Arabidopsis thaliana: one gene and its partner. The protein of the gene in region 2 interacts with the protein of the main gene of each other region in a pairwise test. Each region holds a gene or a part of one and is shown on either strand. Other genes may lie near its edges.

Region 1 (6,923 bases), on a different chromosome or scaffold from region 2:
ATTGGAGATGTAAATCGTAAATGTGTATATAACGTAAACACAAACGTATTTTCAAAAAAATTAGTCACAATTTGGACCACAAAAGCTCTCATACGATTTTTTCTTTTTCTTATTTTCCTTTGAAGACAGAAATAAAAGCTAAAGTGGGATTGTACGTATTAATATACACTGAGATCTACGGGATTTGGACGGACATGATTGAAAGAAGCAATAAACATGTCAGGAAATGGTCCACGAACCCATTGTTGGATTTAAGACAAAGACAAAGACAAACGATATAATTAATACTCCGCTCACAAAAATTGACGCACCGACTGATCAAAAATATGAAAATTAATGTGACAATTCGAGATTAAACTTGGTAACAAGAAAATAGATATCGAAATCGAAGAATAGTCAATTAGCAGAGCAAATTAGCATTATTTAACACAAAACAAGGACAGTGATATATCGATGAATGATTGGATTTTGTTAGGTTACACAAAAATATGGAAACAAATTTGAAATTAATTGGAGTCCATCGATGAATAATTGATGGTAGTAGTTAATTGGTAAAGGTCCCATGCATACTATTTTATAAGAAGGAATGTCTAAAAAGTGCACGAAGAACCTTTTCAAAAAGTCCAGTAGTACATCCATGTGACTCAAGATCTACAAATATTATATAAAAAATTTGATCTCTTTTAAAATCACGCAAAGAACCTTTTCTTTTTTTTCTTTGAAAACGATTTGTTACCTGGTTTGTTTGTTTTTCTTTATGTACATCAAATGCAAACCAAAAGACGATATGATTCCACGCAGCAGCTTGGATAAAAAAAAAAAAAAATGAGATCAACAATATCGTTTTTTAGTACCAAGTCCTGACGAAGTTACTTCGTTGAAACCCAAACTCAAAAATTCTTAAAAATTTTCTTCAAAGAGTCAGTCAAAATGAATGTATAGATTTTTAATGCAAGAAGGGAAGTTGACAAAAAAAAAATAAGTAACGAGGGGAAAGATTCGAGAATCGAGAGAGATCATCCATATCTTCTTCCTCTAAAAGTGTTTTTTGTCGTCTTCTTCCTCATAAATTATATATTATCTAAAATTATTATTCTTCAAAAGATCAGATCCACTCTACTTATTTTATATCAAAAGTATTCAGCGTTTATTATACCAAAAAAAAACTCATTTAAATTCGAACAATATGGCCGACATGACCGCAAAGCTTATATTAATACGAGTATGTTTGGTTATTGGGATTACTACGAGAACATTTAAGAAATTTCATTCATTAAAAAGATACATGAACAAGCGATGATCATGTCTAGCCTGTTAATACAATTAGATCATGTCTAAATCTCAATTCTCAACGGTCATTAAGGCCACTTTATAACGATTACAGCATATTGTACCATTTTCAATCAAGTTAGACAGAACCGATACAAACCACCGGAATAGAAACTGAACCAAAATCTGTAAGAATAAATTGAAGTTCATAAAGCTATGGTTTTTAAATAAGCTATGGTTGGTTAGGTTTATACCGAAACCAATATCAAATACATGGCAGTGTTTGTTGAGTGTATGAAGAAGATTGGAAAATGGATTTGCCATTCAATAATTTATACTATTTGTTCAACTAATACACATAAAATCTATATAAAAAAAAAGAGCGGCGATATTTATTTATTGAGGTAAAAAAAAAAAAAAAAGGAAGTAGATATACACATGGATGATGGAAGACAAAAGCTGGCATGAAGAGCTGGCCATTTCTCAAAGTTCCCCCACCTTTTCCATTTCTTTAATTAGTTTTTATTTCGATTTTTTTGTCGTTTCTATTAATTAGATTAACTAGCATCTGACTAAAAAGATGAATTTTAGACCAAAAAGATTGTACTATTAAATTCCACTTTTGCACTTTTTCTTCCATAAGAGCCTTAAAAGTTCCCACTTCTAGGCCTCTTTACCTATTTCGGTAATATAAAAGAAACAATTAAACTGATTCATCATTTTTGTTTTTCCTTACATTCGTATAAATTACATAATATTTTTCTAAAGCATTAAGAGTTTAAGACTCATTTAAACTAAAGAAACAAATGAGCTTAACTACCAATTAATAGTTCTCAGTGTTATTAAATGAAACAAAAATTAACTAACTTAATCATACTAGTACTACCGTCAAGTTCCTATCAATTATAATATCTGCCTCCTTCTATGAAACCGAAATTTAATGTAATTTGTGATTAAAACGTATACTAATTGACTTACATACCCGGTATGCTTTTGTTTAAGTTCCCTGAATTCTAAACCAGATCAAACCGGGTGTGAAACCAAAACCAAAACAAGTCAATTTGGGGGCATTGAAAGCAAAGGAGAGAGTAGCTATCAAATCAAGAAAATGAGAGGAAGGAGTTAAAAAAGACAAAGGAAACCTAAGCTGCTTATCTATAAAGCCAACACATTATTCTTACCCTTTTGCCCACACTTATACCCCATCAACCTCTACATACACTCACCCACATGAGTGTCTCTACATAAACACTACTATATAGTACTGGTCCAAAGGTACAAGTTGAGGGAGAGAGTGAGAAGAAGCAATTTTGTTATATTCAAGAAACAATAAAAAATAAAGTTATTTTTGTAATACAGAGAGGAAAGAAAATAGAAAGATGAAGATTTGGTGTGCTGTTTGTGATAAAGAAGAAGCTTCGGTGTTTTGTTGTGCGGATGAAGCAGCTCTTTGTAATGGTTGCGATCGCCATGTTCATTTCGCCAATAAACTAGCCGGGAAACATCTCCGGTTCTCTCTCACTTCTCCTACTTTCAAAGATGCTCCTCTTTGTGATATTTGCGGGGTACGTAACAACAAAATTTAACACTTCTCTCTTTTTTTTTGCCTTTCTTGATAGAATTATAATCTTCACTTGGAAAATTTGTGAGCTTTTAGATATGTTATAGTATTGATGGAAATCTGGTTTCATGAACGGATGTTTCGGGTGACCTGAGTCACTTTTTTTTTCTTCTTTCTTTCCGAGATTTGTTTGTTGGTTGGTGAGAAAATGATTATTTGGCAACAAGTTTACTTCCTTTCCTAGCAAATTTGAGGTTTCACACAATTTTTGACGAGGAATTTTATGGCCACGACCAAATATTACTTTTCTCAAAAAGAGAACAGAGATTGAGCTTACCAAACACCTTGGTGATTTATTTGGTTACACACTAATCAAACTTAAGATATTAACCAATTAAATCGAGTTATTAGTTATTACGATATTAAAATACTTTCTTCTTTGGGAAGGTAAGCCGTGGAGAAAAGGATATTTCTTTTTGCTGTTCATTAAATAAAATAAAACAATAAAATGGAATGTTTTTTGTTTGAAAAGGTCAAATCTAGCAGATAAGTATGTTTTAAAATAGATGGATACAAAACAAGAGTCTTCTTGATTATCTATTATTAAATGGTACTAAACCTTTATACATATGACAGGAGAGGCGTGCATTATTATTTTGCCAAGAAGACAGAGCAATACTATGCAGAGAATGTGACATTCCAATACATCAAGCTAATGAGCACACTAAGAAACACAATAGATTCCTCCTTACCGGCGTTAAGATCTCTGCCTCCCCGTCAGCCTACCCAAGAGCCTCCAATTCCAACTCTGCTGCTGCATTTGGTCGAGCCAAAACCCGACCAAAATCAGTATCGAGCGAGGTCCCGAGCTCGGCCTCCAATGAGGTATTTACGAGCTCTTCTTCGACGACCACGAGCAATTGCTATTATGGGATAGAAGAAAACTACCATCACGTGAGCGATTCGGGGTCGGGATCGGGTTGTACAGGTAGTATATCCGAGTATTTGATGGAGACATTACCGGGTTGGAGAGTGGAGGATTTGCTTGAACACCCTTCTTGTGTCTCCTATGAGGATAACATTATTACTAATAACAATAACAGTGAGTCTTATAGGGTTTATGATGGTTCTTCACAATTCCATCATCAAGGGTTTTGGGATCACAAACCCTTCTCTTGAACTTATTTCTGTCGAATTATAGTCTTTTTTTTATAAGTTGGGGTTTGTAATCATGAATCCAAACCAACTTGTTGTTTTCGTTTTTTAGTATTGTTGTTTCTATATTTATCTCACATTATGATTTTAAATTTATTTTGTCAACCAATCCTCTTTTAATCTTAGTTTCTTTTTCTTTGAATTTAATTTCAGGTATTTGTTGTATTGATATCTATACACTGTAACAGATGAAGAAGATCTGGATACGTATTTGAAATCGATATGAATCAATGACATTCCGTAAGGGATTAGCCGAAATTTTAGTCAAACAGTGCCTGGCACCACTTTGAGAAAACAGAGCTCCAACACTAAAAACTGTGAACTTTTTAAAAATAAAATCGTAAACTAATACAATGTAGTATCATAACTTTTGGATTAAAAAACACCAGACTAGGTGTGTGTTTGTGTATTGAAAAACAAAACTGGAAAGCATATTGTTGAGTATGTCGAGAATTTCACACAATCCCAGAGTGTATAGGACACAGGGACTGTAAGAACAACATCAGCCCACTCAATCTGACCCGAAACTTCATCATTGAGACTCTTGTCAAGCAAAATCACAGCACACCAAATTTTCTTGGTTTGATCAAGAGGAGACAAGGCAGGACTGTCCCAAAAGAGTAGAAGCTTTCCACCATAAGTACAAAATTCAGTATCATTTATAACGTACGCATCAAGTCCAGTCAAACCGTTGACCAATCTCCACTCTTCTGACGACTCTTCTGACGACGTTGTTTCCATCCACCAACATCTTTTATCCGCATAAGTGTATTCTACATTCTCTATGACACAATATTTCTCCACCAAGCTTGAGTGATCCTTGACAACTTCCCATTTTTTTTCTTTTAAAAGGTAAACGAAGTCCTTCTTCTTGTTCTTGCTCTCTACATTCTTCTTCTTCTTCTTGCTCTCCACATTCTTCTTCTTGATCGTCACACAAATATTTCCATCCATCGGTAAGATCTTTTTATTTAAAGAGAGCCGGACCTCAGGGGCCAGGGTCCGGTAAAGGTTCCCAAGTTTGAGTCTTTGGGTCGAAAACCTCAGCCCAATTCGTTGATTCATCTGGTCGACAACCTCCCATTACATATATTTTCTCACCGAGAACGCATACATGGGGTTCCATGCGACCCACCATCATGCTAGGGGCTTTACGACCGTTGCCAGTCAGCTCATTATGGACCCACATCGCATGATATATATGGCTGCCGACCGTGTAAATTTCTGAGCCAACCTCTGCGCATATTAAATTTGGTGGGAAAGGAGTATAGGAAGATGGAACTGGTACCAATAAATTTCTAGTAGACTTTTCTTGAATGTTGCAATATTGGTTAAGGGTTTGATCATCAGGTTTTATCCAGAGACTAAACCAGATGGGACAACGTTTGTTGGGCGGTTGTAGGCCGAGATAAACACATTCTTCTTGAGTTTGAAGTTCGCTTCGTACCTCATAGAGTAAGTCTGAGAGGACCAACGAGCGGAAGCTCTTGGAGACAAGAGAGAGCTTTGGGTAGTACGATATCGATACGAGCCAAGCTGCTCAAAACAATATCCTCCGGTAGTGATAAAAACGAAGACGGAGGCCGTGGAGGATGCTTTGACGTCTCGTCCGGTGTTCCTATATTGGACTCCATAGCGGCGGTTTACATGTAGCTAAATTGTTGTTAAGAAAATACACGACTAGGGTTCTTTAATAATAAAACCTATATATAAAATAGAAATAAGGGATATATATATATATATATATATAATTCTCGAAATAGAAAAACTATTTTTTTAAAGTATATTTATATATACTAATCATGAATATATATATATATATATATATATATATATTTTTTCTTAACTTTTCTTTTTGGTAACTATATTAGGTATATATTTGATTTATTAGATCTTGACATGTATTAAAAACTTCTAATCAAATTAACATAAATATTAACTAATAATTACAATGTGTGTTGAAAATCAAAGAAACGATTACGACTGAAAATGAAAGTGGACTCTACTCTCTCGCTCTACTCAGAGCAATAACAAATAAAAATAGTAAGAACAACTATATATGATTGAGTAAGATTGTGCTAGTGGCATATTTTTCATTCTGTTCCGAGCATTATGCTAATAGATGACTAGGTTTGACTTTTATAGATTTGTGTTACTTTACAAGGCTTGTTTTGTTGATGTTTCCATCTCTTTCAACAATCGCTCTAAATTTTAAACATCATATAAATTACAGAAGAAACATATTTATTCTTGTAACGGTAACTTAATTTGACTTTTTGTTACCTTGATCAATTTCCTTTTCTTCGCAAAACATAATAAAGGAGACAATTTCCTTTTTTTTCAATGGAGCGTTTGCTGATAAATACTCCAACTCTCGTTTCTTCTTCTTCGTTGAGAAATCAAAAACCAAAATACCATCTTTGATCTTCTTCTTCTTCTTCTTCTTCTTCTTCTTCTTTCTTTTTTTACCTGCAATTTCCCTGCGAGACTGATCACTGATGTGCTTTCCTTCTCTCGTGACAACAATCTTCAATCAATCGAGTTCACTTTTTAGTTCGTGACTCCCTAATTTCACACGATCAAAGATCTCGCCACCGAAACGCTTTCACCCAAGGATTCTTTCAACGGCGGCGAAGGATATGATTACACGACGGAGAAGGACGATGGCCAAGAGAGGGATAGTGAAATTGACGACCAGTTGGCAGATTCTTTGGCTTTAAAACTACAATTCGACTGCGGAGGAAGCAGACGAATTTGTGTTTCATCGATCGATCCATAATCATGATCACCAGCGAGAACCAAGGTTTGTGCTTTCCTAATTTTCTTTTTCTGTAATAAAAGATTTTTACTTTTAAAAGATTTTTTTTATGTTTAATTT
Region 2 (6,923 bases):
ACAAACCTTTTATAAATGTTACAATGAAGAAGAAGAATTAAAAGAGCAAATTGGACTATACCCACAAACACAAAGTGTCGATTCGATTCTACGGTATTCATCAAGAGATGAGCCAATTATAGAATACAATACCTTCTTCAAAAAGTAGAAAGCTGTAAACAACTTGAGCAGAGAATCTCAGAGATTAAAAGCTATGTCTTTTTTTCTCTCTTTTGAATTTTTAGGGTTTTAAAACTCAATCGAGAAACGAAGATTCATAATTTGCCAAAGTAGTTTTTTTTTTTCTTCTTCGTCCACCTGAAGAAAAATCTAGACACGCGTTGACTGTTAGAATAAAGTCGATAACTTCAATTGAAATAAGATTTGTGTACGCTTTTTCATACGACGCGTGTACCATCAGCAAGACAACAACGCCTATACCTCAAGGAGATTTGAAAGTTTCATACTTTGATACAATTAGAACGGCTATAATTTTCTCTCTTTCTTTTGCCCACTAGAACAGACTGTATTTCCAAAGATGTGTGCTCAATGGATATAGTTGACTTTTTCAAATTTGACTTGAATTATAAGAGAAACATTTGGGCTTGAGACTAATAAGCCCATATATAAAACAAAATTATAGGCCCAGTTAAAGAGCGGTCTGATATCAAAAACGCCGTCGTAGAGAAGCATACCTCAGTCGTCTTCAAGGGTTTCGACTTTTGTGCGGTAGCCATTAACGTTGTTGCAGAGGAAAGCTGGAAAATAGAGAGTTCGATGAACTCTTGTTACTATAATGGAGGCTCAGGAGTTTGAAAACCGAGAGATTTCCCCCGGTTCGAGGTTCCTGATTGAGAATCAGATCAGAAGTAGCTCAATATGTTGACAACTACCACCGATGAGGAAATAGACTTGTCCTGCGACGGAGGTGTCACGGAGCCTCAAAAAGTTGCTATAATCTTCGCGTTTTGTGGTGTAGGATACCAAGGAATGCAAAAGAATCCCGGCGCGAAAACCATTGAAGGCGAGCTCGAAGAAGCTTTGTTTCATGCCGGAGCTGTACCGGAGTCCATTAGAGGCAAGCCAAAACTATACGATTTCGCACGATCTGCACGGACAGATAAAGGAGTTAGTGCTGTTGGACAAGTAGTTTCAGGTCGCTTTATCGTTGATCCACTTGGATTCGTGAATCGTCTCAATTCAAATCTCCCTAATCAGATTAGAATCTTCGGTTACAAGCATGTAACGCCGTCGTTTAGCTCCAAGAAGTTTTGCGATCGAAGAAGGTATGTGTATCTGCTTCCAGTGTTTGCTCTTGATCCAATCTCGCATCGTGATAGAGAAACAGTAATGGCTAGTTTGGGTCCGGGAGAGGAATATGTTAAGTGCTTTGAGTGCTCAGAGAGAGGTCGTAAGATTCCTCCAGGTCTTGTGGGTAAATGGAAAGGTACCAACTTTGGGACTAAATCATTGGATTTTCAGTCAGACATTTCGTCGAACAACTCTAGTGCATTAAGAAGTGACATCAAGATTGAAGCTTTGAGTTCTAATTTAGCTGGCTTATGCTCAGTAGATGTTGAAGTAGGTAGGATACAAGAAGACAGTTGTAAATTGAATACAAATTCATCAGAGACTAAGGTAAAGAGCAAGTTTTGTTATGGTGAAAAGGAAAAGGAAAGGTTCAGTAGAATACTAAGTTGTTATGTTGGATCATATAATTTCCATAACTTCACTACAAGAACAAAAGCAGATGATCCGACTGCGAATCGTCAAATCATCTCCTTCACTGCTAATACTGTGATTAATCTTGATGGGATTGACTTTATCAAGTGTGAAGTCTTAGGCAAAAGCTTTATGCTTCATCAGATTCGGAAGATGATGGGTCTTGCTGTTGCAATCATGCGGAATTGTGCTTCTGAATCACTTATCCAAAGTGCTTTCAGCAAGTAAGCTTCTCCTTTTTCTTTGGTTTTGAAGCTTTGCAATGTCTATAGTTTTGTTTGTTTTGATACTCAGTTCGGAAATTATGTAACCAGGGATGTGAATATAACTGTACCAATGGCGCCAGAAGTTGGACTTTATCTGGACGAATGCTTCTTCACGTCTTATAACAGAAACTTTGAAGACAGTCATGAAGAAGTGTCCATGGAAGCATACAAAGAAGAAGCTGAAGCATTCAAATTGAAGCATATCTATTCTCATATCGGCGCTACAGAGCGAAAATACGGAAATATGGCTCTTTGGTTACATTCCTTGAACTATAGAAACTATCCAGACCTAAACTTTGGCAGCTGTGGACAAAACACAGACCAAGTTCTTGTTCATAAGAAAATTGATGAAAGAGCAAGTCATAGTCTCTAAGCAAAATGATGGAAGCTTAGTTTGAAGATTTTGACATTGTTTTTGTTATTGTTGGTTAATCCCACCATTTTTGTAACTTTTTAATCAAATTAGTATATTTTTGTGTTGTAAGGTGACACTAATGAATTGATTTGTTATCCTCCAACGTCGTCGTCATATAAAAGATTTTCTTTATTTATGGAAGAGAGAAGAATCTTATTTGAACAAATGTTTATCGAATAAGAATCGGTAAAAAATGATTATAAGGAAGAAACGTGGAACCGAATCTACAGGCAGAGGGACGTGACGTTACATATGAGCAGAACCATATATAAAATCCCTAATCGCACGTCAACCTCTCCGAAGCATAAGGCCCATAACTTTTTCTATTTAATTTTCTTGTCATTTTTACTATTTTAATTGTTATTTAGGGTAAATAAAATGTCAGACTTCGATTGACCCAATGAGTTTTAGGGTGTGACTCCTATCTCCGTCTGCACTAATAAGTACTACTTTAACTTTCGCTTACCAATGCATGTCAATACTCAACAGTGACATATTTTTAATTTTCAGAGGTTTTTCAATGCCCAAAAACTTTGATATATAAAGATCGTACGAGTTTTAAATTCCTCACCTAAAAATTGTCAAGTATCATTAGTGTATAAAGTGCATAGATCGTGTTACAAATTCTTCACTTTCGCTCTTATTTTTTGAATACTCACTATATATATAACACTAAAATAAAAGTGAAAGAATCTAATATGCTAAACCGGTAAAGAAAAAAAGCAAGACAGTCCGATTTTTAGATATTATCGATGTTTTCATATAAATTAGACTTAAGAAATTTCAAAAATAAAATAATGATTGATTATGTTGGAAAGAAATAGATGTGACCATATTTCGACTGCTCGTAAGCATAAAAACTAAAGTAGGTGGGGTGCAATAATTACTTTTTAATTAATACAGTGAAAAAGTAATTAATACAGTATTAGTAGTATCAGAAAAATTACAAAGCAACATCACTCAAAACGCCTCGAAAATAAAAACAATAATTTGAAAGCAAATATATACACAATTATAAAGTTTAAAATTTTAAATTTCCTTATATCTATGTGGTATGTATTAAAACTCACAAAAAGAAAGAAAATGACAAATCCTCACGTCCGTTACTTTTAAATCCGTAGCAAAAATAAATAATTTAATTTTCTATCTCTATATCTCTCTGATTTAATCACAAATCTTATCTTGAATCGTTATCTTTCTCTTCTTTCCTTAAACCAAAACCCAAAAAAGAGAGACCAGACAAAAAAAAAAAAACTCCCCAACAAAAAAAAGATATCTGTCTCTACTAAAAGTCTCTCTATAGCGATGTCATCGGACAACGAATCGACACCGTCTCAAGCGACGGTAGAAATGATGGCGACTTCGCCGGCGAAGATTAAAGAGTATCCAGAACCATTGGCTTTACATGAAGTTGTCGTCAAGGATTCTTCTGTCTTCTGGGATACTCTCAGGCGGTTTCACTCAATTATGTCCACTAAGTTCATGTAACCATTATTCTTTCTCTTCTTCTTACTTAATAAATTTAGTTTTCGTCATTTCATCTATCTTATTTTATTATTTTTGTGTGATATAAACAAGGATTCCTGTGATTGGAGGAAAAGAACTAGATTTGCATGTTTTGTATGTGGAAGTCACGAGGAGGGGAGGTTACGAAAAGGTCAACACTTTTTGTTTTCTTTTTCAATACAGATATTTTTTTACTTTATGGTAATTTATTATCGTTTCTTATATGTTGTGTTGTTTTGAAAATGCATGTTGAATTGATAGGTAGTCGTAGAGAAAAAATGGAGGGAAGTTGGAGGAGTGTTTAGATTCTCTGCGACAACAACAAGTGCTTCGTTTGTCTTAAGGAAACATTATCTCAATCTTCTCTTCCATTACGAACAAGTTCATCTCTTCACTGCTCGTGGTCCTCTTCTTCATCCCATAGGTTTGTTTTTTTTTCTCAAACCTTCTTCAATTGATTACTTTTAAATATATATAGTATACATTTCATTATATTCTTCAATTATCATAGATTTGTTTCTGTTGAGAATCTTTAATTCAACCGTTTGATAAATGCTAATCAATGAATCATAAGATGGTTCCCATATTGTCTTTAATGCCCTAGGACTAGAAAGTTCAATTCGTTGTTACTCATTAACGATAGTCTGAAAGGCTTGAATCTATAATAAAATAATAAGAATAACTTTTCAATTATGTGAAGTCATGGGTTCAATCGTGGGACACATTCTTACTACAAACGTGGGAGTTCAACGATTGTATATACCCGAATTATTGTCATCATTTCTATCTATATGGTTATTGTAATTTTGTTTATGTCTTGGAACTATAAGTTATTTAGCGACGATTATTTATGTTACATATAAGATAATCAATTTTTGCAGCTACATTTCATGCAAATCCCTCAACGAGCAAAGAAATGGCGCTCGTCGAATATACTCCTCCGAGTATAAGATATCATAATACTCATCCTCCTTCTCAAGGTTCGTACGTATTATCAATATCTAGTATATACTTGTCTTTGTTCTATGCTTTATATCATCATTTTATGACAAAAAATGATTAAGGTCTTAGTTAATGATTATGTATATGTGAAACTTATATTTAGGGGCACAGTTTAATTTCGTATGATAATTGTCTAGTTAGCTTTATGTACTTATCATAAAAACCTTAGTGTTTATCGCAATACTTTTCAAATATAGTGTAGAATCATAATGGTCCCACTGTCATTATGTTTGATGCAAATCTATTTGGATTTTGTTGGATAATAAACCGATGACGTGGACCAGACCAGTAGCTATAAGATTTGGTTCACATAGAAATTTTTTATAAGATAATGTATCTAGGTTTGCTTATGATTATACATGTGATATTTAATACATGGCACAGGTTCGTCGAGTTTCACAGCCATAGGTACAATAGAAGGCAAATTCGATTGTGGTTATCTGGTAAAAGTTAAGTTGGGCTCAGAGATTCTTAACGGCGTTCTTTATCATTCGGCCCAGCCCGGCCCATCATCATCTCCAACCGCTGTTCTAAACAATGCCGTTGTACCTTATGTTGAAACTGGGAGGAGACGGCGTCGTTTAGGTAAAAGACGAAGAAGCAGACGCAGAGAAGATCCGAATTACCCGAAACCGAACCGGAGCGGTTACAATTTCTTCTTTGCTGAGAAACATTGCAAGCTCAAATCACTTTATCCCAACAAGGAGAGAGAGTTTACGAAACTTATCGGAGAATCGTGGAGCAATCTCTCTACCGAAGAACGAATGGTAACAAATTATCTTTTAAACCGTTACCGATTTAGTGATGAAATTAGATTTGTAGTAAATCGATAACTGAACCGAGTTTTGGTTATTGCTTGTAGGTTTATCAAGACATTGGATTGAAGGATAAGGAAAGGTATCAGAGGGAGTTGAATGAGTACAGAGAAACGTTGAGACTTAGGGATGGTGACATGACAAACGGCAAGGCTTTTTAGGTGATTTAGTTAAAACGGCAAGTCGTTTTGTTGTAGGTCGTTTCTCTCTTTTAAGATTGGACGCCTCGCCGTTTCTTTTATTTTCTAGCTTATTGTAGTTGTCCATGCTTGCTTAACTAGGCTCAGTGAGAGGCTAGACTTGCCAAACTTGAAGAGTCTTTATTTATTTAAGAATTTTAGATGTTCTAATGTATTAATCCTTTTTCGTAAACCTTTCCTGTTAAACAAGAGGTTTATGTTGCATGTTAAAAAAGAGGTTTAGGTTATATTAGCAATTTAGCATTCGATTCGTTGGTTAGTAACTAAGTAATATAAATACCACAAGAACAAGAAATACTAATGAAAACTTGGAATGTTCAAAGTCTCCTTATCTACTTATGCAACGTTAGACAAAGCTATCAAACAATGCCACGTCACCTCACAAAACATCTAGGGTAACCAATCACATGCAGATAACTCTCTCGCTTTATTTTCTCTTCAAATCTTATCAAAAATCCCATAATGTTTTCATTTCTTTACAAGTGATCAACAAAACACCCCAAAAAGTAAAGAAAATGGCCGCAATTACATCAGCTACCGTCACCATCCCTTCTTTCACCGGCCTAAAGCTCGCCGTCAGCTCAAAACCTAAGACATTATCCACCATCAGTAGATCCACTTCCGCCACCAGGGCGCCACCTAAGCTCGCTTTGAAGTCCTCTTTGAAGGATTTCGGTGTCATCGCAGTGGCAACAGCAGCTTCGATCGTTTTAGCTGGAAATGCGATGGCCATGGAGGTTCTTTTAGGATCCGACGACGGTTCCCTTGCTTTCGTACCATCTGAATTCACGGTGGCTAAAGGAGAGAAGATCGTGTTCAAGAACAACGCAGGGTTCCCACATAACGTGGTGTTCGACGAAGACGAGATCCCTAGTGGTGTGGACGCAAGCAAGATCTCGATGGATGAGACAGCGCTTCTAAATGGTGCAGGGGAGACTTACGAGGTTACTTTGACAGAGCCAGGCTCTTACGGTTTCTATTGTGCGCCGCACCAGGGTGCTGGTATGGTTGGGAAACT

What was found.
Region 1: the proteins of AT1G76110 (region 2) and BZS1 interact in a two-hybrid assay, tested with the Arabidopsis thaliana proteins (one large-scale study listed by BioGRID).

The regions. Positions count from the first base shown.
Region 1 is NC_003075.7:18,202,147-18,209,069, reverse strand, and holds BZS1 (B-box zinc finger family protein), read left to right. Parts: upstream 1-2,385; 5' UTR 2,386-2,648; coding exon 2,649-2,834; intron 2,835-3,466; coding exon 3,467-4,009; 3' UTR 4,010-4,435; downstream 4,436-6,923. Other genes in the region: AT4G39060 (LOW protein: coatomer subunit alpha-1-like protein), read right to left, coding at 4,436-5,110, 5,181-5,326, 5,416-5,698, 6,461-6,463. UniProt on the Arabidopsis thaliana protein: Acts as a positive regulator of seedling photomorphogenesis. Plays a negative role in brassinosteroid responses.
Region 2 is NC_003070.9:28,554,230-28,561,152, reverse strand, and holds AT1G76110 (HMG (high mobility group) box protein with ARID/BRIGHT DNA-binding domain-containing protein), read left to right. Parts: upstream 1-3,537; 5' UTR 3,538-3,687; coding exon 3,688-3,866; intron 3,867-3,960; coding exon 3,961-4,039; intron 4,040-4,149; coding exon 4,150-4,312; intron 4,313-4,769; coding exon 4,770-4,868; intron 4,869-5,274; coding exon 5,275-5,657; intron 5,658-5,752; coding exon 5,753-5,866; 3' UTR 5,867-6,119; downstream 6,120-6,923. Other genes in the region: AT1G76120 (Pseudouridine synthase family protein), read left to right, coding at 859-1,925, 2,016-2,340; PETE1 (plastocyanin 1), read left to right, coding at 6,313-6,923. UniProt on the Arabidopsis thaliana protein: Binds preferentially DNA with A/T-rich content. Required for karyogamy during female gametophyte development, when the two polar nuclei fuse to form the diploid central cell nucleus.